Linked DNA regions of Ovis aries. The protein of the gene in region 2 interacts with the protein of the main gene of each other region in a pairwise test. Links are inferred from orthologs where the notes say so. Each region holds a gene or a part of one and is shown on either strand. Other genes may lie near its edges. The genes, in order: FOXR1, BANP, C1H1orf94, ZMIZ2, CEP76, SH3RF2 and PPIF.

The links.
Region 1: the proteins of BANP (region 2) and FOXR1 interact in binary tests that used the Homo sapiens proteins (3 or more experiments, as listed by UniProt). The two-hybrid records come from large-scale screens. The link is inferred for Ovis aries from reciprocal best matches to the Homo sapiens genes BANP and FOXR1.
Region 3: the proteins of BANP (region 2) and C1H1orf94 interact in binary tests that used the Homo sapiens proteins (3 or more experiments, as listed by UniProt). The two-hybrid records come from large-scale screens. The link is inferred for Ovis aries from reciprocal best matches to the Homo sapiens genes BANP and C1orf94.
Region 4: the proteins of BANP (region 2) and ZMIZ2 interact in binary tests that used the Homo sapiens proteins (3 or more experiments, as listed by UniProt). The two-hybrid records come from large-scale screens. The link is inferred for Ovis aries from reciprocal best matches to the Homo sapiens genes BANP and ZMIZ2.
Region 5: the proteins of BANP (region 2) and CEP76 interact in binary tests that used the Homo sapiens proteins (3 or more experiments, as listed by UniProt). The two-hybrid records come from large-scale screens. The link is inferred for Ovis aries from reciprocal best matches to the Homo sapiens genes BANP and CEP76.
Region 6: the proteins of BANP (region 2) and SH3RF2 interact in binary tests that used the Homo sapiens proteins (3 or more experiments, as listed by UniProt). The two-hybrid records come from large-scale screens. The link is inferred for Ovis aries from reciprocal best matches to the Homo sapiens genes BANP and SH3RF2.
Region 7: the proteins of BANP (region 2) and PPIF interact in binary tests that used the Homo sapiens proteins (3 or more experiments, as listed by UniProt). The two-hybrid records come from large-scale screens. The link is inferred for Ovis aries from reciprocal best matches to the Homo sapiens genes BANP and PPIF.

Annotation. Positions count from the first base shown.
Region 1 is NC_056068.1:29,296,059-29,299,558, forward strand, and holds part of FOXR1 (forkhead box protein R1), read left to right. Parts: intron 1-400; exon of another isoform or gene 401-526; intron 527-1,120; coding exon 1,121-1,195; intron 1,196-1,289; coding exon 1,290-1,531; intron 1,532-1,769; coding exon 1,770-1,996; intron 1,997-2,985; coding exon 2,986-3,224; intron 3,225-3,500. UniProt on the Homo sapiens protein: Transcription factor which acts as both an activator and a repressor.
Region 2 is NC_056067.1:12,999,131-13,001,707, forward strand, and holds the end of BANP (protein BANP), read left to right. Parts: intron 1-82; coding exon 83-322; intron 323-1,437; coding exon 1,438-1,509; 3' UTR 1,510-2,077; downstream 2,078-2,577. UniProt on the Homo sapiens protein: Controls V(D)J recombination during T-cell development by repressing T-cell receptor (TCR) beta enhancer function. Binds to scaffold/matrix attachment region beta (S/MARbeta), an ATC-rich DNA sequence located upstream of the TCR beta enhancer.
Region 3 is NC_056054.1:9,141,673-9,145,172, forward strand, and holds part of C1H1orf94 (uncharacterized protein C1orf94 homolog), read left to right. Parts: intron 1-1,006; coding exon 1,007-1,252; intron 1,253-2,324; coding exon 2,325-2,500; intron 2,501-3,500.
Region 4 is NC_056057.1:78,405,727-78,409,175, forward strand, and holds the end of ZMIZ2 (zinc finger MIZ domain-containing protein 2), read right to left. Parts: intron 3,448-3,449; coding exon 3,203-3,447; intron 2,702-3,202; coding exon 2,532-2,701; intron 2,449-2,531; coding exon 2,209-2,448; intron 1,890-2,208; coding exon 1,854-1,889; intron 1,496-1,853; coding exon 1,388-1,495; 3' UTR 501-1,387; downstream 1-500. UniProt on the Homo sapiens protein: Increases ligand-dependent transcriptional activity of AR and other nuclear hormone receptors.
Region 5 is NC_056076.1:43,561,647-43,565,699, forward strand, and holds the start of CEP76 (centrosomal protein of 76 kDa), read right to left. Parts: upstream 2,801-4,053; 5' UTR 2,671-2,800; coding exon 2,608-2,670; intron 1,978-2,607; coding exon 1,822-1,977; intron 776-1,821; coding exon 694-775; intron 92-693; coding exon 1-91. Other genes in the region: PSMG2 (proteasome assembly chaperone 2), read left to right, coding at 3,074-3,130. UniProt on the Homo sapiens protein: Centrosomal protein involved in regulation of centriole duplication. Required to limit centriole duplication to once per cell cycle by preventing centriole reduplication.
Region 6 is NC_056058.1:54,955,529-54,959,028, forward strand, and holds part of SH3RF2 (E3 ubiquitin-protein ligase SH3RF2), read left to right. Parts: intron 1-920; coding exon 921-1,190; intron 1,191-3,500. UniProt on the Homo sapiens protein: Has E3 ubiquitin-protein ligase activity. Acts as an anti-apoptotic regulator of the JNK pathway by ubiquitinating and promoting the degradation of SH3RF1, a scaffold protein that is required for pro-apoptotic JNK activation.
Region 7 is NC_056078.1:34,158,271-34,160,508, forward strand, and holds part of PPIF (peptidyl-prolyl cis-trans isomerase F, mitochondrial), read left to right. Parts: intron 1-812; coding exon 813-909; intron 910-1,443; coding exon 1,444-1,519; intron 1,520-2,238. UniProt on the Homo sapiens protein: PPIase that catalyzes the cis-trans isomerization of proline imidic peptide bonds in oligopeptides and may therefore assist protein folding. Involved in regulation of the mitochondrial permeability transition pore (mPTP).

The DNA.
Region 1 (3,500 bases), on a different chromosome or scaffold from region 2:
CCTGGGCTGCAGCATGCCAGGCTTCTTTGTCTTTCTCTATCTCCTGGAGTTTGCTCAAACTCTTGTCCATTGAGTGGATGATGCCATCCAACCATCTCATCTTCTGTCGCCCCCTTCTCCTTATGCCCTCAATTTTTCCCAGCATCAGGGTCTTTTCCAATGAGTTGGCTCAAAATTGCAATATGATAAGTTAAAGAAAAGGTAAACAGAACTTTTAGGTTACAGGCTTAGACTGGGATGGTAGAACTTGGTGATTGACTGGGTGTGGCTCTATAGCAAAGAGGAGACAAGAATGATTTCCACCCACAGATATAGAAAACAAGCTTATGGTTACCAAAAGGGAAGTGAAAGTGAAGTGAAAGTGAAACTCTCTCAGTTGTGTCTCTTTGCGACCCCATGGACTAGAGCCTGTCACGCTCCTCTGTCCATGGAATTCTCCAGGCAAGAATACTGGAGTGGGGAGCCTTTCCCTTCTCCAGGGGATCTTCCCAACCCAGGAATCGAACCCAGGTCTCATGCATTGAAGGTGGATTCTTTACCGTCTGAGCCACCAGGGAAGCCCTGAAGGGAAGTGAGGGGAGGGATAAATTAGGAGTTTGGGATTAACAGATACATATTACTATATATAAAAAAGATAACCAACAAGGACCTACTGTACAACACAGGGAACTATATTCAGTATCTTGTAATAACCTATAATGGAAAAGAATCTGAAAAAGAATACATATATATGGGTGTTGTTGTTTAGTCACTAAGTTGTATCTGACTCTCTTTTGACCTTGTTGACTGTAGCCTGCCTGGTTAAAGTGCTTGTGGGTTATCCCATAGACAGTTATACTTAAGGGCTAGCAGAGAAGTCTAGGCTAGAAATAAAGATATGGAAGCTTTGAGTTTATAGATGGTGACTGACTGAAGTAACAGGCATTAATGAGATGGTTCAAGGACATAATGTGGGGTGAGAAGGGAAGAATGCAGAGGATAATGAGAAGGTCAGAGAGATAAGGGGAAACCCATAGAATAAGACATCACTTCCCAGGCAGGGCCCATAGCCATCTTCCAGGGAGGCTTCAAGGCCACAATGGAAATCCTAGGATGTTTTGACTCTCTTTCTTTTTGCCAGTTGCCAGATATAAACTCCGAATAGTTGAGCCACCAATGCTACTTCTGGAAAAAAAACCCAACCCTGATAAAGATGGTGAGTGAAGGGAAGTGACATGGCCCTGTGGCCTGGGTGGGCTGCCCAAAGTCCTTGGGCTACGGGCCACAGTCTCTTTCTCTCTCTATTGCAGGTCTAGATTTTGAGCCCAACTTGTGGATGTGGGTAGACCCCAACATCATGTTCCCCCCTGGAAAGCTGGAGGTCCCGGAACCCAGTAAGGGGAAGAATCTGACAACCACAGCTCCCTCCCCTCAGCCAGTCCCAAAAGACTTTGACAAATGTCCGGAGGCCACAGAAGTGGAGTCGCTGTCACCCCCTGGAGACCAGTCTTCCCCTTGGAAGCAGTTTGCCACCTCCCCCGGCAACTGGGAGGTAGGGATTTCTGGGGTGGGCTCTAGGCAGGGAGTGGGCCCAGGGATGACGCAGCAGAGGGCTCTGTTTTCTTAGGACTGACAAAGGGTTAGTGGGTTCAGAAATTAGCTGTGCCCCCCATCTTCTGGGGTGGGGAGAAGCCCAGATGGTGGCCTTGGCCCACGGCCCCTTCCTGCCACCGCACCCCTGGAGTCGAGACCATGGAGTCAGGACCAGTTCCTACTCTGTGCTCCTCCAGCTCACAGAAGAGAAGGAGGCAGAGGACCAGGATGACCGCTCCTCTGTGGCTCTCCCGTCCTCTCACAAACCGGCCCCCCTCCAGAGTCGGAGGCTTCGGCAAGCCAACAGCCAGGAGGGGAGGCTCTGGTCCCGGCCCCCTCTCAATTACTTCCACCTAATTGCACTGGCATTAAGAAACAGTGCCCCCTGTGGCCTCAACGTGCAACAGATCTACAGTTTCACTCGGTATGTGCCGGGGCCCTGTGAGGAGGGCGAAGGGAGGGGGCAGGGCCCTGCTCTGATACCTTCCAGTAGGCTGGGGGCCCTGGGCTGCTGCCTCACCTCCCCCACATGTACCCCAGAGGATCCCTCTCTGTTCCCAGGCCCTGGTTCCAGGTTGTCCCCGAATATGTGTCCTCACCTCACATAGACAGGATAGCCACCACCACCCCTCACATCTAAGAGACTCCAACCTTTTTATAGCTTAGTTCTTTTTTTTTTTTTAAGTTTTTGTTACAATAATTCTTTCTCTTTTATGTTTTGTTTTTTGACCATGAGGAATGTGGGCTCTTAGCTCCCTGACCAGGGATCAAACCTGCTCCAGTTGCATTGAAAGGCGAAATCTTAACCACTGGACCACCAGGGAAGTCCCTATCTTAGTTCTTCAAAACATATTTTCACCTGGGTCATAAATTCTGTCATCTTCCCTCAAGATCCCCCAGCAGTTTCTCACGTTTTCCCTTTGGACTAAACTAATCTGGCACGGCCTGTCCCCCAGGGACCCAGGGAAGCCAAGCTGAGAAAGGATTTACATTGCTTTCTGACAGTCAGGTACCCATGAGTATGAGGAGTTTTTTGGACCTTTTCCCTCTGTTAGAAGAGTCAGTCACAGAATATTAATCCTCAAGAGGTGTCCTCCTTGACCAGGATTCCTCTGACAGAAGCTGTTGGCCTGATTTTAGCTCTGTTCAGTTGTCAGTCCTGAACCCTTGGAGGGAGGGAGGAAGGAAAGCGAGCCTGGGAGTGTAGGGGCAGTAGACTGAGTTCAGAGGGTTAGGCTTTGTACCAGCTGCGCAGCCACAGGCCTAGTCAGCACAGTGCCTCGTGGGCCAGCTTCTGCTTCACCACCTTGAGAGGAGGGCTGGGGGCTCCTGGCCCCTGGGTGAGAATGTTCTCCAGGAGAGGCATCTCCCAGGAAGACCACCCCTCTCCTGACCATTCCTCCATGTCCACAGACAACATTTCCCCTTTTTCCGGACGGCTCCTGAAGGCTGGAAGAATACCGTGCGTCACAATCTCTGTTTCCGAGACAGCTTCGAGAAGGTGCCGGTCAGCATGCAGGGTGGGGCCAGCTCACGGCCCCGATCCTGCCTCTGGAAGTTGACTGACGAGGGACACCGCCGCTTTGCAGAAGAGGCCCGTGCCTTGGCCTCCACCCGGCTGGAAAGGATCCGACAGTGCATGAGCCAGCCAGGTGTGAGGCCTTGTCACACGTGAGGCCCAGGGGAGGGGACCTGAAGATCCTGACCCGAGGCTGGGTGTGCATGAAAGGAGCTAGGGTCACACCAAGGTGGAGGGGAGGGGCAGCTTCTGGAGGGAGGGGAGAAGCCAGAGGTGTTCTGAGATGCTGGGTGGTGCCTGCCTGAGGGGTCCTCACAGAGACAAGCATGGCAGGTGAGGTATCGGGAGCTGAGGCGAAACAGCTGGTGCTGCTCACAGCCCCGCAGCCTGGGGAAGTAGTGACCACATG
Region 2 (2,577 bases):
GGATGCGGCTGCACGTTTGAATCATTGTTCCGTCGTTCAGTCCTGTCCTCTGTGCTGACGTGCGTCTTCTCTGTGTCTCAAGGTGCTCCAGGGGGCCCAGCTGATAGCAGTGGCTTCTTCGGACCCGGCTGCCACAGGGGTGGACGGCTCGCCGCTCCAGGGCAGCGACATCCAGGTCCAGTACGTCCAGCTGGCGCCGGTGACCGACCACACCGCTGCGGCCCAGGTGGGTCCTCCCTTCGGGAAGTGCACAGGGCCCGGGGCTCCTGCAGGTGTGGACACGCTTGGGCCTTTCTACCTCGGACCTTCTTCCGTGAGGAAGGTAAGTGACCGTGAGAGGTGCCCGTGTGGACCTAGGTGCTCACTTGGGATTCTGTCTCTCGTAAGTGCCTGGAAGTGTGAAGGTGAGAAGTCGGTTCCTGGCCCAGGGACCAGCTTGAAACCAGTTCTTGAGATGCTCTCAGGCACATGTTTACCTATGAGTTTAGAGACCAAATCAAGTACACCTGAGGCCTTGCTGCTCCTCGTGTTGGGGCAGGGCCAGCCCAGGGTCCGAGGTCCTGCAGGCCCATGTGTGGGTTTGTAACCCCCAGTGATGGTGCTTGGTCAGGAGACCATCATGACCTCCCCTGGGTCTGGGGGAGCCAGACCTGGACTCCCGTGTGGTGCCCAAGCCCGTAGGACAGGCAGAATCATCGGGGTCTGTCAGGGTGTGGTCAGGCTCAGACTGCTGGGGCGGGGGTGACACAGGTATGCTCTCCTGAGCGTCCTCAAACCCAGCCCCTCTGGAGGAGCCCTCTGCTGAGCCCTCAGACTGGCGGGCAGACACCCTGACTCCCGCCACCCCCACTATCGGGAAACGCTATTATGTCCATGGGATGTTTGCACTGAGAAAGCACAGTCTTGAGCCACAGTCGGAGGAGCAGCACCAGCCCCACTGGGGCCTCTGCCTCCCCTGCGTGGCCCCAGGAGCCACCCAGCTAAACTTCATGCCAGGGGAGCCCGCCTCCACTGCCTTTGGCCAGTGGCTTAGGGAGTCCCCAAAAACCGCCAGACCGTCTCTCTCTGGGGGCCCCATTCTTGGTGGCTGAGATGCGTGGTCAGTGACTTACTCTAAGACTGTATTTTTCCCTTTGACTTATCGTAAACCTGTGAATATGCTGACGACTTGGAGGGTGCCCCCAGTGAGAAGCAGGGTGGGAATGGAACCCAGTGCTGGTTGGGGGGGAGGGTGCTGGGGCACTTGTGGGAGGGGTGAGTGGGTGGGCCGGTGGGGGTAAAGCGGAGGCCCTGCAGAGGGACCTTGGCGTCCCCGGGTCTGTCAGTGCCTGGGCCACCAGCCCAGGTGTGTGTTCTACTCTGTGCCTGAAAACCACGCATGTCTGTGACCGGGCGTGGCCTGGGCCCTTTGATGGAAAGCCCTCTCCCCTCTTGCAGGCGGCTGACGCCCTGCAGCCCACCCTGCAGCCTGAGATGCAGCTGGAGCACGGGGCCATCCAGATCCAGTGAGGCTGCTGACCCGCCCAGACCCAAGCCACGCCGCCGCTGCGTGCTGACCCCTGCACGCTGGCCCCTGCCACCTACACCGTTCACACGCGCCCGCCCCTAGGCTTTGCACGGGAGGGGCCTGCCTGCGTGCTGCTGAAGTGCATCCGAGCACCCGTCCATGGGGAGAGTGCCCTGGGAAACGAAGACAATGGTAGCCCCTGCCACCCTCGCCCGGAGACCCTGTTTCTTTTGATCTCCTGGAACGTCCAGGGAAGGAGCGGGAAGCACAGTGCGGTTGCGTCAAGTGCACGCTGGAAATCAAGAACTGCGATATTTTTCTCTGTTTAAACAGCTTTTTTTAATTTGCTATGGTGTTTATAACAAAAAAGAAAATCGAAAAAAAAATGGAGTAGCAGAAACCTTTTGCTGTGTGATCTGTTCAGTGTAACAAGGATAGATGTTCACAGGAGACGACTGATGATTTTGATGGAGACGTTGCTTACCTACTTTTTTAGGGGGATGGATGCGCTCAGCGCTATAATTGTGCGTTTCTAATGGAGTACATGAAATAAATGTATTTATGACCACGGCAGCTGTCGCAGTCTTTCCTCCTGGGAGCTGCCTCCTCCCCAGCACCGCCCCCACACACCGGCGGCACGCCCCCCCACACCGCCCCCTCCACACACCGGCCGCAACCCCCAGCACCGCCCCGCACACGGCCCCCCCCCAACCCCCAGCACCACCCCCCACACACCGGCGGCACACCACCCCCCAGCACCGCCCCCCAGCACCGCCCCCCAGCACCGCCCCCCAGCACCACCCCCCAGCACCGCCCCCCAGCAACACCCCGCACACACCGGCACCCCCCCCCAGCACCACCCCACACATACACCGGTGGCACCCCCAGCACCGCCCCCCACCCCCCGGCGCCCGCACACACACCGGCGCCCCCCACCCCCGGGCCCCCGCCCCGCACCCTGCCCCCCCTCCCCAGCACCACCACCCCACAACCCCCCAGCACCCCCCCGCACCCCGCCCCCCATCACCACCCCGATCCCCAGCACCACCCCCACACACTGGCGTCCCGTT
Region 3 (3,500 bases), on a different chromosome or scaffold from region 2:
TCCTTGCACAAGGGAGACTTGGTCTGTTTGGAGAGAGAGAGCTGAGCCTGGCACCGGCAGCAGCCAGTGGCTCACTCGTGCCTCTGTGCCTTTGCCTGCGGTCACCCATGGCTCTGGGTGCAGGGCCTCGCTGCAGACCTCCTCCTCCTGGAATCCCTCCGGTCCTCAGACAGAAGCTGTCTCAGCCGCCCTCTTCCCCCGCTGTGTCCCTCCATCACCTCACGGTCCCCATCTGCCTTGTCCCGGAGCTATTTCTGGGTCTGTCTCTCTCTTCCTCCGTGTTGTGAGTTCCTGCTGGGCCAAGTCTGGCTCTGACTCATCCAAGTGTCCCCAGGACTCAGGTCAGAGCCTGGCGCTGATGAGTGTGCTGAATCGCCACGACGACTTAGCAAGAGGAGAGTCTCTGACAAGGGACCAGCTGCGTGTTGTGTGGGAATGTGTCTGCGCCAACCACCCCCCCCCCCCACCGCCACTAAGCCAAGTGTGCTCCCTGAAGACAGGAACTATCCGGAACCTTTGTGATCCAACCTACAAATGGTTAGAGGGAAGGAAGGGAGGCAAAAAGAGGGAGAAAGGAAGAAGCGGCAGGGAGGAAAAGAGGAAGGAAGAAAAGAAAGAAAAGAAGGTAAGGAAAGAGAGGGAACTAAAAGGGAGGAAGTTTTTTAAGGAGGAGAGAATGGGATTAGGGAAGGGAGGATGGATGAGTGGATGGAAGGAAGGAAAGATGGATGGGTGGGTAAAAGGATGGATGGATGGGTGGACAGACGGAAGAAGACAAGAATGGATGAATGCATTCATGCATGCAAGGGTGTGAGACCGTCATGGGCGCTGGTCAGGGAAGGCTTCAGGGACTGGACTTGGACTGAACTTGGTTGAGAGAGAGCCCAGAGTGGTGGGAGTCTCAGGTGTGCTGCGGAGGATCCATGACTTTGTCCACAAGACCATGCTCCCCCCATCCAGCATGTGGTCTTCCAGAGTCACTGACTCAGCTTCTCTCCTGCTCTAGAACGGAACCCAGGTGCCAAGGAGCTGACCAGGGGCCGAGAGAGCCTCTTTCTCAGCCAGTGGTCCCCGAGCCGGAAGGACACCTGTGGTGAGGAGGGTGGCAGTGACCCCATGGCTCTGCCGGCCAAGAAGCCTGCCTGGCAGGCTGAGAAGAACCTGCTCTATGAGGTCCTTGGGGCCACCAAGAACCCAAGCGGGCAGCTGAAACTTCGTGGCAAAGTGGAGGTGGACAGGCTGGAGCTGAAACGTAAGCTGACCCTGCCCAGATCTCTCTATGCAGGAAGAGAGTCTATGCAGGAAGGGATTTCAGAAACCCTCATAGGCCCCTGGAGTAGCTCTGTCCTCAAACGGCTGTCATCCATGGGCAGGTCACTGTCTTTCCCTAGTCCTGTAAAATGGGGAAATGGCTTTCTTCCTGTGTCACCCCTACAGGGAAGAGCTCAAGAAATCTAGCTGACTTTCAGGGGTCACATGGGCCTTATTGGTGGTTAATTTGAATATAGCCCTGACTCAGCATGTCTTATGTCCCCTCAAGTTGCCTGAGCCAAAGAAAATCCCGTGCTTTAAGATTATTTCTACATTTTGAAAAAAAAAAAAAAGATCATTTCTACATTTCGATTATTCACGTCTCAGCTTTCTCTCCCTTGTACATCTAAAACTGTTTTAGTAAAACATTCTCCCCTCAACAAAAGGTGCTAAAAAGGGGACACTGATACCCCATCTCTAACTCTTAATCCCACAGGACATATTATAGAAGGAAAGAATCCAGGATTCATATCCTGAAACAACTCCATCAAATATCATTCATTCAGACTAATTTGGGATCTTACCAAAGGGGATTATATAATATTTTTAAATATTTTTAAAAAATGACTCTGGCATAGATGCAACACCTACATAAGGTCCTCGCTGTTGCCAAGTGCATGTCCCCAGTGGGGTGCTTTAACAATTTGATAAGAATGGCTTCCCACAGCGTAGCAATTGTTTGTATCAAACTGGATTTTTCCGAAGCACTTGAAGGAATATAGTTTTGCACGTAGGTGAGACAAGCTGGTTGATTGTATCTCTTGCTAAACTGCCTCCTTACTTGTGAGTCGTGAAGGAGATGCTCCATGGCAGACCATGCTGGGCCTCTCACCCCTTCCACGTTGGCAAGATGTGAACTAACAGTGTTTTCCTTGAGCTTTGAAGAACGCTCTGGGAGCCTTAAAATACCTGACTGGTGAGAACACTAACTCTGGGGGCAGTCATGGAGCTGGGGCAGGCTGGCCTCTCCCTTCCTCAATCACGAAACGTTCTACCTCTCCTGTGACTTACAGTTAACCCACCTGTGACCGGGGCCGACAAGAACAACCTCAAGTACACGGGGAACGTGTTCACCCCACGCTTTGCCACCGCTTTGACCTCAGCAACTCTGAACCAGCCCCTCTGGCTCAACCTGAACTACGCACCTCCGCCCGTGTTCACAAACCCCTCCACCTTCCCCCAGTACCAGGTGAGTGAGCAGGTCCGGGCCCAGTTATCCGGTGGTGGCCGTCCAGGGAGGCGCTGTGGCTCACAAGGAGCCTCATTCACAAAGAGCCGTGGGCTCATTAGTTACTTTCTTCACAGGGACACCATCAGACCGACTGCCAGATACGCGTGCGCATGCATCTCACACACACACACACACACACGCACACGCACACACACACGCGCGCACACACACGCACACACACGCGCACACACACGCGCGCGCGCACACACACACACGCGCACACACACAAGCGCGCACACACACATGCACACACACGCGCATACACACGCACACACACGCACGCGCACACACACATGCACACACACACGCACACACGCACACACGCACACGCGCACACGTGCACACACACGCACACACACGCACACACACACACACGTGTGCCTGTTTCTCATTTTCCTTTGTCTGGATTCCGGCTCACTCTGTGCTGTGTCTTTCAGAGCCGCTTGGCTAATCCTGGGCTGTGAAGTACTTGGGCTCCCAGGGAAGCCTGACCGACGGCACAGTCCTCGTTTCCCACCGCCTCCTGGGGCTTGCTTTGTAGTCGGATGACACGTGGCCTGGATTACTTGGGACAGTCCCCGTTTTGGTCTTTTGTCCCAGCATAATTATTCATTGTACCCCCTTTCACTCTCAAGCGTCCCAGATGACAAATTATGTGGCCGTTTTATTTCAACTACAACCTAGCAATCTTAGCTTCTACCGGCTGAGGTGGCTTGGTACACAGTCTTGGTCTTGGACTGAGAGCTAAGAGGCGTCAGACACAAAGGGGTGGGGGAAACGCTTGCAAGGCTGACGGTTTTACTCACACAACTTATTTACTCCGGGAAAATGTAGTTTCTTTCGTTCGTCTATTTAACTTAATCTCCTGTAAGAGCTGCCACCCACTGGGTAGAGAGATGAAAAAAAAATCAAATAAATGTCCATTCTGATTTAAACCATAGTCCGAACCAAGAGCTTA
Region 4 (3,449 bases), on a different chromosome or scaffold from region 2:
CTTTCTCTCCTTCTGTTCCCTCGGGCAGAAACAGGGCTGCAGAGGAGTAGGAAGGCGCACACCTGGGGTTTCAAGATGTCAGTGGGCAACTTGGAGTACCCCCATCCTGGACACTGCCCCGCATCCACTGGGGCCGGTCTCTGGGTGTGCTACCCCCTCTCCCCAACAGGGCTCATAAGCCTTTTCTGCTGGACTGGAAGGCCCATGGGGCCACTTGGGCAGTGAGCGCACAGATGAACCAGTGTCCAGCTGGTCAGGCACTCAGACCCTGCTCCTTGGCCCCACAGCTGGCTCCACGCCTGAGGCAAGCCCACACAGTGACGTGGTGGCAGATGTGTCTCCCAGTCCTGGTGACACTTCACAAATAGCTCTCTAGCCAGAGCCAACTTGGAAAATTCCAGGGACAAGGAAATTTACCACGGGTTGCAAATAGCTGGGCCTTGCTTTGAGCAGGGAGCCCCGCCCATGTGTGGTAAGCAGGTTGAGCAGGAAGGAGGGACTGCCAGGCCCACCACGAGGGAGTCCTTTAATAGAGACAGGCAGACAGGGGACACGACTTGGCCCTGCACCTAGAGTGTGGTGGCCCCTCCGCCCCCACCTGGCGTGGCCCCAGGGTGGACATGGGAGGAGAGGTGGATTTAAAAAACACTGTGGGACCAACTCTTCACGCTTACAGAAAAGGGCAACTTGGGGGGAACAGGCTGCTGGAGAATCTGCACGTGGAGCTGAGTCTGAGCCCAATGGCCAGCAGGAGGGAGCCTGCTGCCCCCCACCCCTCCTGGCCTGCACATGGGTGAGGGCAGGAGCCCACGGAGACCCAAGCTGCACAGAGGGACCAGCCACCCTACATCTATTAGTGTTTCTACACTATGTACACTATTGTGCTTTAGAGCCCCCAACCCCCAGCCTCAGCCTGAAGCCCCTGCCATAGCGGGCTGGGCGAGACTAGGCCCCAGGACAGAGTAACCCACTCTTTGTTGGCCTAGGGCCAAACGGGTCATTGAAACAGAAAGGTCAACGCTGGACAAGATGCAGGCTGGTGGGAGCAGGCGGGGTGGGGGCCTGGGTGAGGCTGGAGTTCAGGGGTGGTGGGTATGCATGAACCAGGCAGGGCTGGACAAGCATGGGCTGGTACAGATGGGGGCAGGGCTGGGCATCTCCTCAAAAACAGTTCTGCAGCTGCAAACTGGGCCAGTGAGAACCCTGCCCCAGGGCTCCCCTCCCAGCCAGTGCAGTTCGACCTCCAGCAGCCAGGTGTCAGGGGTGGGTCCCAGCTCCAGGTGTATACGTGGGGAGGGCCGCTGGTGTCAGGTGAGGCTGGGCTGGAAAGAATGGTGCGAGACATCGGTGGGCATGTCCCTGTCAGCCAGGTGGTCGACAGATAGGATCAGTTGTTCTCGAAGAGAGAAAGCAGGTCATCGTTGCTGTTCGTGGGGAGGTCGGGTGGGCCCAGGTAGGACAGCAGCTCATCAGGGTTAGTCAGTTCTGGAAGCAGCTGGGGACAAAGCAAACCTGATAGCAGCTCTGGCCTCAGACCTGCCACATCATCTCAATCGGGTCCCCAGGCCCAGCCGGGAAGTGGGGTGCCCCCCCCCACCAGCCTCCAACACAGGCTAGCACCAGAGCCCCTCAGCCTGCTCCTCACAGGGCCTCTTCCTGCCAAAGACTGCTCTGCAACCAGGAATCACTTGTGTTAAGCTGTCCAAGGACAACATGGGACACCCCAGCCCGTGAGGGGTCCTGAACACGAACAGCATGAATGCAGAAGGTGGAATTTTCTGCTTTGAGCTGTGCTTTCCACACTTTTTCACGTTGAACTTTGTATTCATTTATCAGGATGGAGGGACAATCACCTGTCTTTTATGCACTGGTTCTGGCTCGCACACCACCTGTGAGTCAGACAAGTCAAGTCAGACCCTAAGGCCGGTGTCATTGGCCACAAGCCAAGTCTTCCCGGGGACTCTGCATGTGCCACGTTGGCGCACAGGTCCCGAGAACCAGGTGCCTGGACACAATCACCCCATAGCTACTCTGACACCTGACACTCAACAAAACTGCTGGCATCACCCAACCAGCTCTCCCCAAGTCTGGAAGCCATGGAGGAGTCACTGTCTTTGCTTCTATGAAGTGCACGGACCCTGGGGACAACAGATAAGCACCCCTGAGCCCCAGCTCCAAGTGCTCCCCAGCACAGGGCCCAGTACTCACGTCCAGAGCCGGTTCCGGGGCCTCCCCTGCCCCAGACATGGGGGCCCCCATCATGCCTGTGGCAGCACTGAAGGCCAGCTCGCTGAGAGGCCCCGAGTTCACTGGGCCCAGAGCTGGCCGGGATGCTGGGGGAGGGTTTGGATGATGCAGCTGGGGCCCTGGGGGGCCTCCAAGGTTAGGGGCGTGCAGCCCCGGGGGCCCGGGGTTATGGGCTGGGTCCAGGTGACCTGCTGGTGCCATCTGAGGAGGAGAGAATAACCTAGTAAAACAGCTCGAGGGCTCCCTGGGGGGACACCTCCACAGCCCCTCGACTTGACACTGACCTGGCCTGGGAGGCAGGGGCCGGACTTCTCTGGCGTAAGGAGGTTGCTGGGAATGTCGGATTGATAGGAGACAGGCGGAGGCCCTGGGGTGAACTCAGTCAGGGTTGGGGTGCTGGGTGTGGTGGGTGGGAAGGATTCGGGGAAGGTCCCGGGTCCCAGGAAGCTGGAACCTGAGAGAGGAGAGCCAGATCCAGGTGAGGGCAGGGGGCTCATGCTGGCTGAGCCACGAGGGCAGACTGGCCACAGCACGGGTGGGACTCACTGCGCTCGCCCAGAGGATGCTGGCCTTTATGGAAGTTGCTACTTGGGAAAGGGCATTTCTTCTCGTTGTTGCTGGGGGAAGTGGTCATGACACTGCCAGGAGGCTGCGAGGGGACAGGAATGGGACCCACCACACCCAGATACTCCCACCCGCAGGGCTGGATGGGGCTGGTCTGGAAGTGTGCCAACACAGACCTCTGTTCCAAACCTCTGGGGAGGTGGGCACAGCCATAGCCTGGGCCCCGCTGCCCATCCCCCACACCCAGCTGGGCATCTGTACCCCCAAGTCCCCAACCAGGCCCCCAGGCTTGCGGACCTCAGAGCAACGTGTTCACAGGCGGCAGGCTGGTGGGAGAGGCTGGATCATCGCCCAGGGCCCTAATTTTCCAGGGCGAGTCCCGTGTACTCACCCTGGCTAGGGTAGTCGCCAGGGGCCGGGGCTGAGGCGGGTTGCAGAGGGGTGAAGGGCGCGGCACCCGGGCCCAGGGCAGCGATCATCTCCATCACGCTGGGCATGAGCATGTGGGCAGGGCTCACAGTGCGGCAGCGCTTCAGCACCGGCCCATCTGGCTCTTCCTTGACGTGTAAGTCAGGCTTCACCGGCACTGGCTTCCAGCTGCACGTGGGGTCGATGGTGATCTCCTCGTAGTCAGAGCT
Region 5 (4,053 bases), on a different chromosome or scaffold from region 2:
GGTAAAGGCTCAGGTTCTTGCAGATGTTCCAAGAAAGCTTTTCCACCCAAAACCTGAAGGTAAAGATACCTCCGTGTTGGATCAATATTAGCTGTAAAGTGTAGCAATACATATGAGGAAACTGCCAATCAACTTAAGCAATGTGATCAAGACAACAGGAAATAACTTGACAGGAATAAAACTAAAGACTTAAAAAAAGGAAGAGTAACAAATCTACTATATACCAGGCTCACTTATACCCAGGGAAGAAAAAATACATAATAGGATATCCTTTTCTGATTTATATTTTGGCTACTTTCTTCCATCTAGACAGGAGTTAGAGCCAAGGTTTAGAATATCTTTTTTTCTTTAGTTTCTTATACAACAAATAATTTCGGATAATTACCAACTCAGCAAGTACACTTATTAGATAATTACACTGCCATTAAAAGAGGCTGTACAATTTATAAAATATATTAATAAAACATGAAAAACAAATAGTCCTGCTTTTGCTTCCACTCAGCTATACATTAAATCTTTGATACACTTCATGCAAAATAGAATCTAAGTTTTTTGGATGATTTATCATAAAACATAAGCACCTCATTCTGGAAAAAAAAATCAAAATGCTTTCTCTCAAATACAAAACACTATAGCACATCTATATGCAATACTATCCACAACTAAATTAATGTTAAAAAGAAATAAACATACTTTTTTTTAATAACGTTGATTGTCTGTCAGTAAAACAAACAGGTTGTTTTGGAGAGGAAGGGAGTTCTTGATCAACATTATCCTAGAATGGCAGAAAAAAAATCATAACAAATTAGAAAACAAAAATTACAGTTAAGAAAATGCCAATAATGGGACTAAGAACTGAACTAAAAGTAGACAGGATAAAGCCCCCTCAAAATGCCCTAACTTTCCTAGCAGAGTCAGAATAATGAAAAGTCTGCTGAAACAATAATGCAGCTAATTAGTCATTCCTAAAGTCTAGCATGAAGGAATTCATGATCTTCAAGCCATGTCCACAGAATGCTAAAATAAATTTTTAACACTTTACAGAAGGTTAAACTTTCTCCAAACCTCATATGACATCTGGCTTGTGGTTCCACCAGGAACAGAACTGATTATAATAAGGAAGTGACATTCACACAGCAGAAGCTATTACTAGGTCAGTTTTTATAACAAATGAGTTTATAAACCTCAAAAACCAAAAAAGGACGCTGGACTAAAATACTTATTCTCTGGTGTATTATGAAGCCCATCCAATTTCCACATTATGTTACCCAGGTATTGAGGTCACAGTCTCTCATTATTGCCTCACTTTCAAAAGACCTACTTACTAATTTGTGCAGAGAGGCATCACCTCACTACTGACCTATTTATATGAAAAGAGTTGAAAGTTCTTATGCAGACAATTAATTTCTTAAAGAAACAATCTGTTCATCTTAGAGAACACAGCACCAAACAATGTGTTTACTTCAATAATAAGCTTTGTGTAGAAAGATTTCAGGATATTAATTTAGAAAAAATACACTTGGAGTGAACTAATTTGACTAATATACACACTTAAAGTTTCAGACCTAGAGTATAAGAGAAAACTCTCACTGTAAAGGGAATAATTAGGTCCATAATTTCAGTTTCACTGATACATAATCCTACCCGCTCCACTCAAGGGTGAAGTAGCTCATTCCTGAGACACAGATATTACTAGACAAAATGGTCTTATTTAAAAAGTAGTTTCACTAAAGAGAGGCCCCAAATTGGACCCTAAGAGTGGTATTAAACATGAGAATGTACTTAAGACTCTCAAATGTCTTGCTCTAAGAGATTACTCACAGTAACAAAATTAAGTTCTTTCATCACATCATCAATGATTCCCCGGCGTTTAAGGGCTTTGATCAAATCTTCGGTTGATAGCTGTTGTTGATCAGGTGCCAATTCTTCCCGAATCGTCTCAGCAAGGATTTCTCTTATCCTGCCATGGACATCCATCTAGGTAGAAAACTCGCATTAGGACTTAAAACGTCATAGAGCAGTCAAAGATAGCCAACTAGCTAACATCTTTGCAAAATATTGACCACAAAATAATAATAATGAGAGAGTAGTTAAACTCAGGAAGGTTTCTCAAGTAACAGTGTGAGATTGTTACCGAAATTCACTGAGAATAAAGGTAAGGTTTTTTAAAGGAAAAAAACTTTAAGGATAAATATTTTTAACTCTAAAAATAAGCTCTAAGCTTATCTATTACATTTGCTAGCACTTCCCCACAAATAACACCCGACTGAAACCAGTCTTTTGAGACTAGAGCAGAGCAGCGGAGGAGCGACCAAAGGCCAAAAGTAAACTCTCTCAACCTTTTAGTTGTGGCCGAGGGTTAACGGAGTGACCCTTTACGCGTCTGGGGGAGGCGGCGGGGGTCAGGACCGCCGCGGGGCAGGGAGACGCTAACACTCGGCACGGGGCGGCGGCTGGAGCCCCGGCTGACCCCGAGGACCGACAGCCCCTCCGTGCCGCCTCCCATGAAGTGACGGCCTCCGGCCCCTCAGCCCTCTCCCCGCGTATCCGCGGTGCCCGCTGGCCCAGCCCCCGCCCGCCCGCCGCCTCACCGCCTCACCGCCTCACCTTGCTCAGCTGCTGGTGGATGAGCTGCTTCAGCTCGGACGCCTTTTCCGGCGGCAGCGACATGCTGGCCTCCCCGTCGGGCACGCCGGCGGCCGCAGCGTCTCCGCGGCGGAGCCAGAGCCCGCGACCGCTCGCCTCGCGCGCTCCGGGGGCGGCCGCGTCAGGCCGGCGGGGGAACCGGGCGGCTCCAACTGCTGTTTCCAAACGGCGGCGAGGCTGTCCCCGCGCCGCCTGTCAGTCACCTCGGCCGGCGCCCCGGCTCGTCTCCGCCCGCAGACTCCGCGCCTTGACCGCCAGCCTGTTCCCGCGCGCCGCCCCGGCCGCCACCCCCGCCCGCAGCCCCTCCCGCGCGCCGCCCCGGCAGGCAGTGGGACGGGCACCTAAGGACCCCGCGACCGGGGCCTCGAAGGACCCCAGGAGTCGCCCGCACTTCCGGCCGCCGGCTCCTTGTGCCGCCGGCGAAACCATGTTCGTACCCTCCGGGGACTCGGTCCCCGACCTCGCGGGGTGCACCCTCCTAATGGTGAGTCGGGGCAGGGGTCTGGCGTCAGAGCGGCCCCCGGACGCGCGCGAGTCTGTGGGGCCGGGTCCTGGTGGCTGTGAGCGAAATGTGCGGGGACGTGACCTTGCGCTCCGTTGGTGCCGTGTGGGCCACTCGCTGTACCTTCTTGGAAAATCTTTTCTCCGCGAGCTCTGTATCGCGCTTAAGCTGGGGAGTGATTGTCGTTAGTCAGGAAACTGCAGACGGGCTGGTAAAGACTTGGCGACAGCACGCGATTCTATCGCGGTTCATTCATTGCTTCAGTGAGCGTTGTGTTGTGTCAGTGTGTAACGGTAAAACCAGGTTCTGTGTCTCAAGGAGTTCGCAGTCTAGTTGGGAACACACGTAAATAAATAAAGTTAGAACGTTGAAAGGGGTACAGAAAGACCCGGGGATTTATTGGGAAGGGGAGGGATACAAAGATCTGTTAAGAAAAGCTTCGTATGTGGAATTAAAAAAAACACATAGAACAGATTGGATGAAAGGGGTCAAAAGTACAAACTTTTAGTCAAAAATAAGTCCTGGAATGTAATTTGCAACGTAGTAACTATAGTTAACACTGTGTTGTATGTTTGAAAGTAACAGAGTAGATCTTAAAATTCTCATCACAAGAAAAAATAATTTTTTGACTGAGTGGTGATGATCGTTAAGTAGACCTGTTGAGGTAATCATATTGCAATGTGTACAGACGTTCAATCACAATGTTGTGCACCTGAAACTAACATATATGTATCCGTTTTTAAAAGGACGATGGTAATAGAAAAGTCACTTTTCGACAGTTTTCATAATGAAAGCAAGAAATGTCAGTGGGGACTTCCCTCCTGGTCCAGTAACTAGTACTCTGCGCTTCCACTACAAGGGGCATGGGTTTGATCCCTTGTCGAGGAACTAAGGTCCTGCTTGTG
Region 6 (3,500 bases), on a different chromosome or scaffold from region 2:
AGCAAGACCAGAGTGAGACCGTTTCTCTGTGGAGAAACCAGTTTCAATTAGGAAAAAAATGCATTTGACTGAAATAATTGTTTAGACTGACAACTGATTTGACAAATAACAATTCTTTAGCTGAATATTTTTAAGTGATGATTGATTTCTGATTGTTAATTTGTCTTAGTTGTGCTTGCTAAAGACACAAACACACATGGGGTTTTCAGTTTCTAGACAAGGCTGAAGACAAATTATGGTGTATCACTCTCACATAGCACTTTCTATTTTCAGGGAGTTTTCACCTCAGTTTTCTTCCCATTAACACTGAGGAGTAGGTAGAACTGATATCATTAGCCCTACATTACAGATGATCATTCTAAGAAGTGTCATCTGTTGAGCGCATTCTGTGCACAATATGAAGTAATATACAAATGCATCATTAATATCCTTTAGTCCTCACAGCAACTCTAATAAGGTAGATATTGTTATCACTTCATCTTATAAGTGAACATGGTTTAAGAAAGATGAAATAACTTGACTGTAGTCACATAAGAGCAAAGAGGTGAAGCCAGAATTCAAAATCAGTATTCCTAGCAAGAGTCACGGTCTTACCCAAGTTCCCATAGTTGCGGAGTCAAGTTCAAAGTCCTGCTCCCTGCATAGTGATTAAGAACAGGGTCTCTAAAATCAGATTGTCTGAGTTCAAGCCCCATATCACCATTTCCCGGCTGTGCCACCTGAAGTGAGTTACTACACCTCTCTGTGCCTCAGTCACTCCACCTTAGAAACGGGGATAATACTGTCTCAAAGGTTAAACAAGGTAATCCACCTATGGCACTTAGTGCATGGAAAGTACTCTGTAATTAGTAACTAATGTGACCCCCTTGGTCCCTCCAGCCTCTAAGCCATATATATTTTCTTGATCTGTATCACTGCAGGTGCCTCGAGCAAAGGCCTTATGCAACTACCGAGGGCAGAATCCCGGTGACCTGAGGTTTAATAAGGGAGATGTCATCCTCCTCCGAAGACAGCTGGATGAGAACTGGTACCAGGGGGAGATTAATGGAGTCAGTGGAGTCTTCCCGGCCAGCTCCGTGGAGGTCATCAAGCAGCTGCCCCAGCCACCCCCACTGTGCCGGGCCCTCTACAACTTCCACCTTCGTGACAAGGACAGGAGTGAGAACCAGGACTGCCTGACCTTCCTCAAGGTGAGGTTCTGAGAAGCCACCAAAGTCACCAGTGATCACATAAAGGCTGTGGCAGAACTTAAGTTGTTTGTTGATGTTTTAGAATTACATTTTATACAGGCTTCCCTGGTGGCTCAGTGGTAAAGAATCCACCTGCCAATGCAGGAGGCGCAGGTTTGATCCCTGGCTTAGGAAGATCTCCCGAAGGAGGAAATGGCAACCCACTGCAGTATTCTTGCCTGGAGAATTCCATGGACAGAGGAGCCTGGTGGGCTACAGTCCATGGGGTCTTGGAAAGTCGGACGCAACTTAGTGACTAAACATCAGTGAACAGCGTGCGCCTGCATATGTTATGTGTTTGCATACTTCAAACTGTATGGAGGTGAAGCCACCAGAGAAATCTAACAGGAGTCTGATGGAGGTTCTCAAACATTTGTATTGCAATTATGAAACCAAGTATCCATACCCTCATTCATTCATTCATTCTGCAGCCACTTGTGACCACCTGTTCTTTTCAGACACTGGGGAGCCAGCATGAACAAGTCACAGCATCTGTGCTTGGGCAGAGTAGTGGGAGAAACAGATGGTTAGACAGAAAATTGTAAACATAGTTTAATAGCATGCTCTATAGAACTACGGATCTTACCTCTTCATTGAGTGTCTGCAAGGATATTCTTGCTGACCAAGGTCACTACTGCTTGTTTACAACACTATTTTGTCTGTAGACATTGCCTTCAAAACACTCCAAACAGCAACTACTGAAGCCTGCATGCCTAGAGCCTGTGCTCCGCAACATCAGAAGCCGCCGCAATGAGAAGCCCGCGCGCCACAACAAAGAATGACCCTCACTCTCTGCAACTAGAGAAACTCCGTGTGTAGCAACAAAGACCCATCACAACCATGGATAAATAAGTACATTTCTAAAAACCATTCCAAACACACACAATAACATAATTATATCTTTACACATAGATAACCTCTTACAAGATATATTTTCCAAGGACATCAGTTACCCTACGATTTTTTTTACCTCTCTTTTTTATTGGCTGATTCTTCACCATTTGTAAGTAACAAGTCTGCTGAAGTCTAGACCATAGCCATCCCTGTATATTCAGGGTGAGGGGGTGGATCCAGGACACAGTGAGTCCTGAGGATGCAGGGTCCGTGGATTCAGAGGGTCAACTGTACTCTAAGTCTCGAATCTGAGCAACCTTCAGGAGGTAGTGAGGACAGGGAAGCCTGGTATGCTGCAGTCCATGGGGCTGCAAAGAGTTAGCAACGTAGCAACTGAGCAACAACAAAATTCAGTACTTATTATTCCCTAAACATTCTAATTTTCTCATAGAAACTAAAGTTGGGGTAATTTTTATTCTTTGCAACTTAAGTCAAATACAAGTGCAAGTAACACTGCTACAGTAAGTTCAGGAAAAGTCTTTTGTTTTGTAAAACATTTTTATTCCATCACTCCCTGAAATGAAATTTGCTTCAGATTCCCTCAGACCAGATAACTTCACTGTCCTCCATATTATGAAATACTGATCTTTGTTATTGTCTTCACACCTCAGAGTGAGTCCCCTAAAGAATACCATTCATTAGCCGACCTGCACATTTTATACTTTGGCTACAGCCAGAGGACAGCAGTTCAATTCCACAAGCGTTTATTGAGTATTTACTTTATGCCTGGCATTAGACACTGAACTCTGGGGACACAGCCAGAGGAAGATACAGGCAGGGAGCATATCTGCTTTTGTGTCCCCTCTCTGGGAATTTGCAAACTGGGACACTTACCCAAGAACTTGCTCATTCATTGAATTCATCCATGTACCAGGCTGTCTATGCAGATACAGTGAAGAGTCATTGTCCATATCTTCATGGAGCCAGCAGTCTAGTGGAAGGAGCAGACACATAAATGGGAAATTATGACAAAGGACTCAGAAGAGAGGATTTGCTCCCTCCCAGAAGATTATCAGTGCTTCCCCAACGGCTCATCATTAAAGAATCTGTCTGCCAATTCAGGAGACACTGGTTTGATCCTTGGGTCGGGAAGATCCCTTGGAGGAGAAAATGGTAGCCTGCTCCAGTATTCTTGCCCAGAAAATCCAATGAACAGAGAGCCTGTCGGGCTACAGTTCACAGAGTCCCAAAGAGTCTGACACGACTGAGCACAGCACGGTGGCAGAAGGCTGTCATAGGCTGAGACTTCACTAGGAAATCTCATGGTCTTCCTATAGTCAGCTTGTCTAAAAAAAAACTCAAGATCTTTTCTCCCAAAGCTACTCTTTTCCTGGTATTTTCTGTCTCAGTAAATTTTCCAGTTTATTCACACATGCA
Region 7 (2,238 bases), on a different chromosome or scaffold from region 2:
TTGAGCAGAAGCCGAAGCGGATGTCCAAGCTGGGCTAGGATCTTACTCTTACCACAGTAGGCAAGGGCAGGGACTCCAAAGCTGGTGGGCTCTTGGAGGCATGGGATGGTGGGACCAGGCACGGGGAGGCCTGGTCCTCTCTGGGGACACCTTATTGGCATTTGTGGATGCTTCAAAAGCAGGGCTAGTCAGGTCATCCCTGTTACCCGAGGAGGTCATCTCAGGAAAAGAGCAATATGATGGGGGCTGGGGCCTGGGGCTGGCAGACCCTGGGCTCTTCTGTCTGTGGCTCCTTGTGGAAGCCTTGGGCAAGCCGTGAGGAAGACCACCAGCCCTGGGTGGACTTTGTCCTAGGCCGGGTGAAAGGGAGATGCTGGGACAGGAACTGGGGCTCAGCAGAGGGACCTGCCTCTGTGCCAGCTACCCGCAGACCACACTGGGGAGCAGGGACTCCTGGCCTCCTCCTTGTTTACCCTTCAAGAGTTGTGGGTAGAAAATTCTAGGTCTCTTAAGAAGCAGCTCGAAATGGCTGAGAATTTTTAAGGATCATTTAAAATCTCACTCAGACAAAAATGAATCATTCGGAAACCAGGGTAGTTATTGGGGCAGAAAGTATTAAACCTTTATTTTGTTGTTGCTTACGTTCCTTAGCATTATATTAGCCCTTCTATCACTGGGTGTTTTCTGACCCCTTTGGCTGAGGGCTCCCAGCTGGGTAGGCCCTGGGGGGCTGGGCGCTGTGTCCCAGCATGGGAATAGCACCCCTCTGCCAGCTCTAGTGGCGACACTCAGCTAGCGCTCCGTGTTCGCAGGCTGGTGACTTCACCAACCACAACGGCACGGGGGGAAAGTCCATCTATGGAAGCCGCTTTCCTGACGAGAACTTCAAGCTGAAGCACGAGGGGCCGGGTGAGTAAGGCTGTCAGTCCCCACCTGGGCATGTGCCCTGAGCTGTGAGCCTGGCGCTGCCACCCCAGCAGGCCTGCAGGCTGCAACCGGATGGCTCCACATCTAGGGACACATCCTCCCTCCTTCAGGGTGATGGGTGGGCTTACTGGATTGTCCCAGAGGCTTTTTCATCCTGAGCTCTCAGTTTCAAAAACAAATCTTTCTTTGACCACCATGCTCTGAGAGCCGTTAAGCAAAGCCCTAGCTTTATGTTACCTTTAGGACCCAACGTGAAATGTGGAAAAAGCTAGAGTTCAGGGCTGGAGGTCCTGCCCCTGCTCTACCACTGAGAGCCTCCAGGAGGCCCTTCCCTCCTGTGTCATCAAGGCGGACAGGCCCTGGGTGGCTGTGTGCTCTGGGCTTGGCTCTCCTTTTCTGAGCCCCAAGTATCTTCAGCCGCAAGCATCCTTCCTGTGGTGTGCATCATCTGCTCTTGAACAGTTCCCAGGTGAGATGCCTCCTGGGGCAGCCTGCTCATCCCGCTTGTTTTCGCAGGTGTTCTGTCCATGGCCAATGCAGGCCCCAACACCAACGGCTCCCAGTTCTTCATTTGCACCATAAAGACAGACTGGTGAGTTGCCAGCTCCTGGTCCAGGCCCTCAGGGTAGCAGGGGTGGCCTTGAGCTGGAGCGGGAGGATAGTTTGAGGCCAAACTCTCTGCTCTGGGGCAGTAGCCCTCACCCGGCTGAGTGTGTAAGAGGAGAAAGGCCCCAAAAGCATTGAGGAAGAATTTGGGTTATTTTGCAACTCTTGTCTTTTATCAGGCTTCCCATTGTTGCTGTAGCTGGAATTTCTCAGTGTTCTGAGCATGCACACGTACACACAGGAAAGAATTCTCTTACCAAATACATTGGGGAGATGCTGCAGAACTTATCAGGCCTCGGGATGGCTTGTGGCAGAAGCTTGCTCACTCGGTTTAACCTGCCGTTTCCCAGCTTATTTAACTTTGGGCTGCACCTTGGAAAATGCTGCAGTAGACAACATTTGGATATCATACCGGATTTCTCATCAGGCATTAGCACCAGCCTGTTGCAGCCACCAGCCCTGCTGGAACCCTCTTTCCCATTGCCCTTGTATTTTAGGGATGTCTTCCCAGGTCAGTTTCCCACTACCTAATCAGTTTTCGCTTCCCAGAGTCCCCTATGTCCTCACCCTGAGGCATCTCAGCGGGGTGAGGGGACAACAGCTGGCCTGGAGCTAAAACTTAATAAAGCCCATTTCCAAGGACTTTAGGGAGACCCAGGAGGTGGCGGATACTAGTGGTCTGTAGCCTCTGAGCCAGAAGGGACA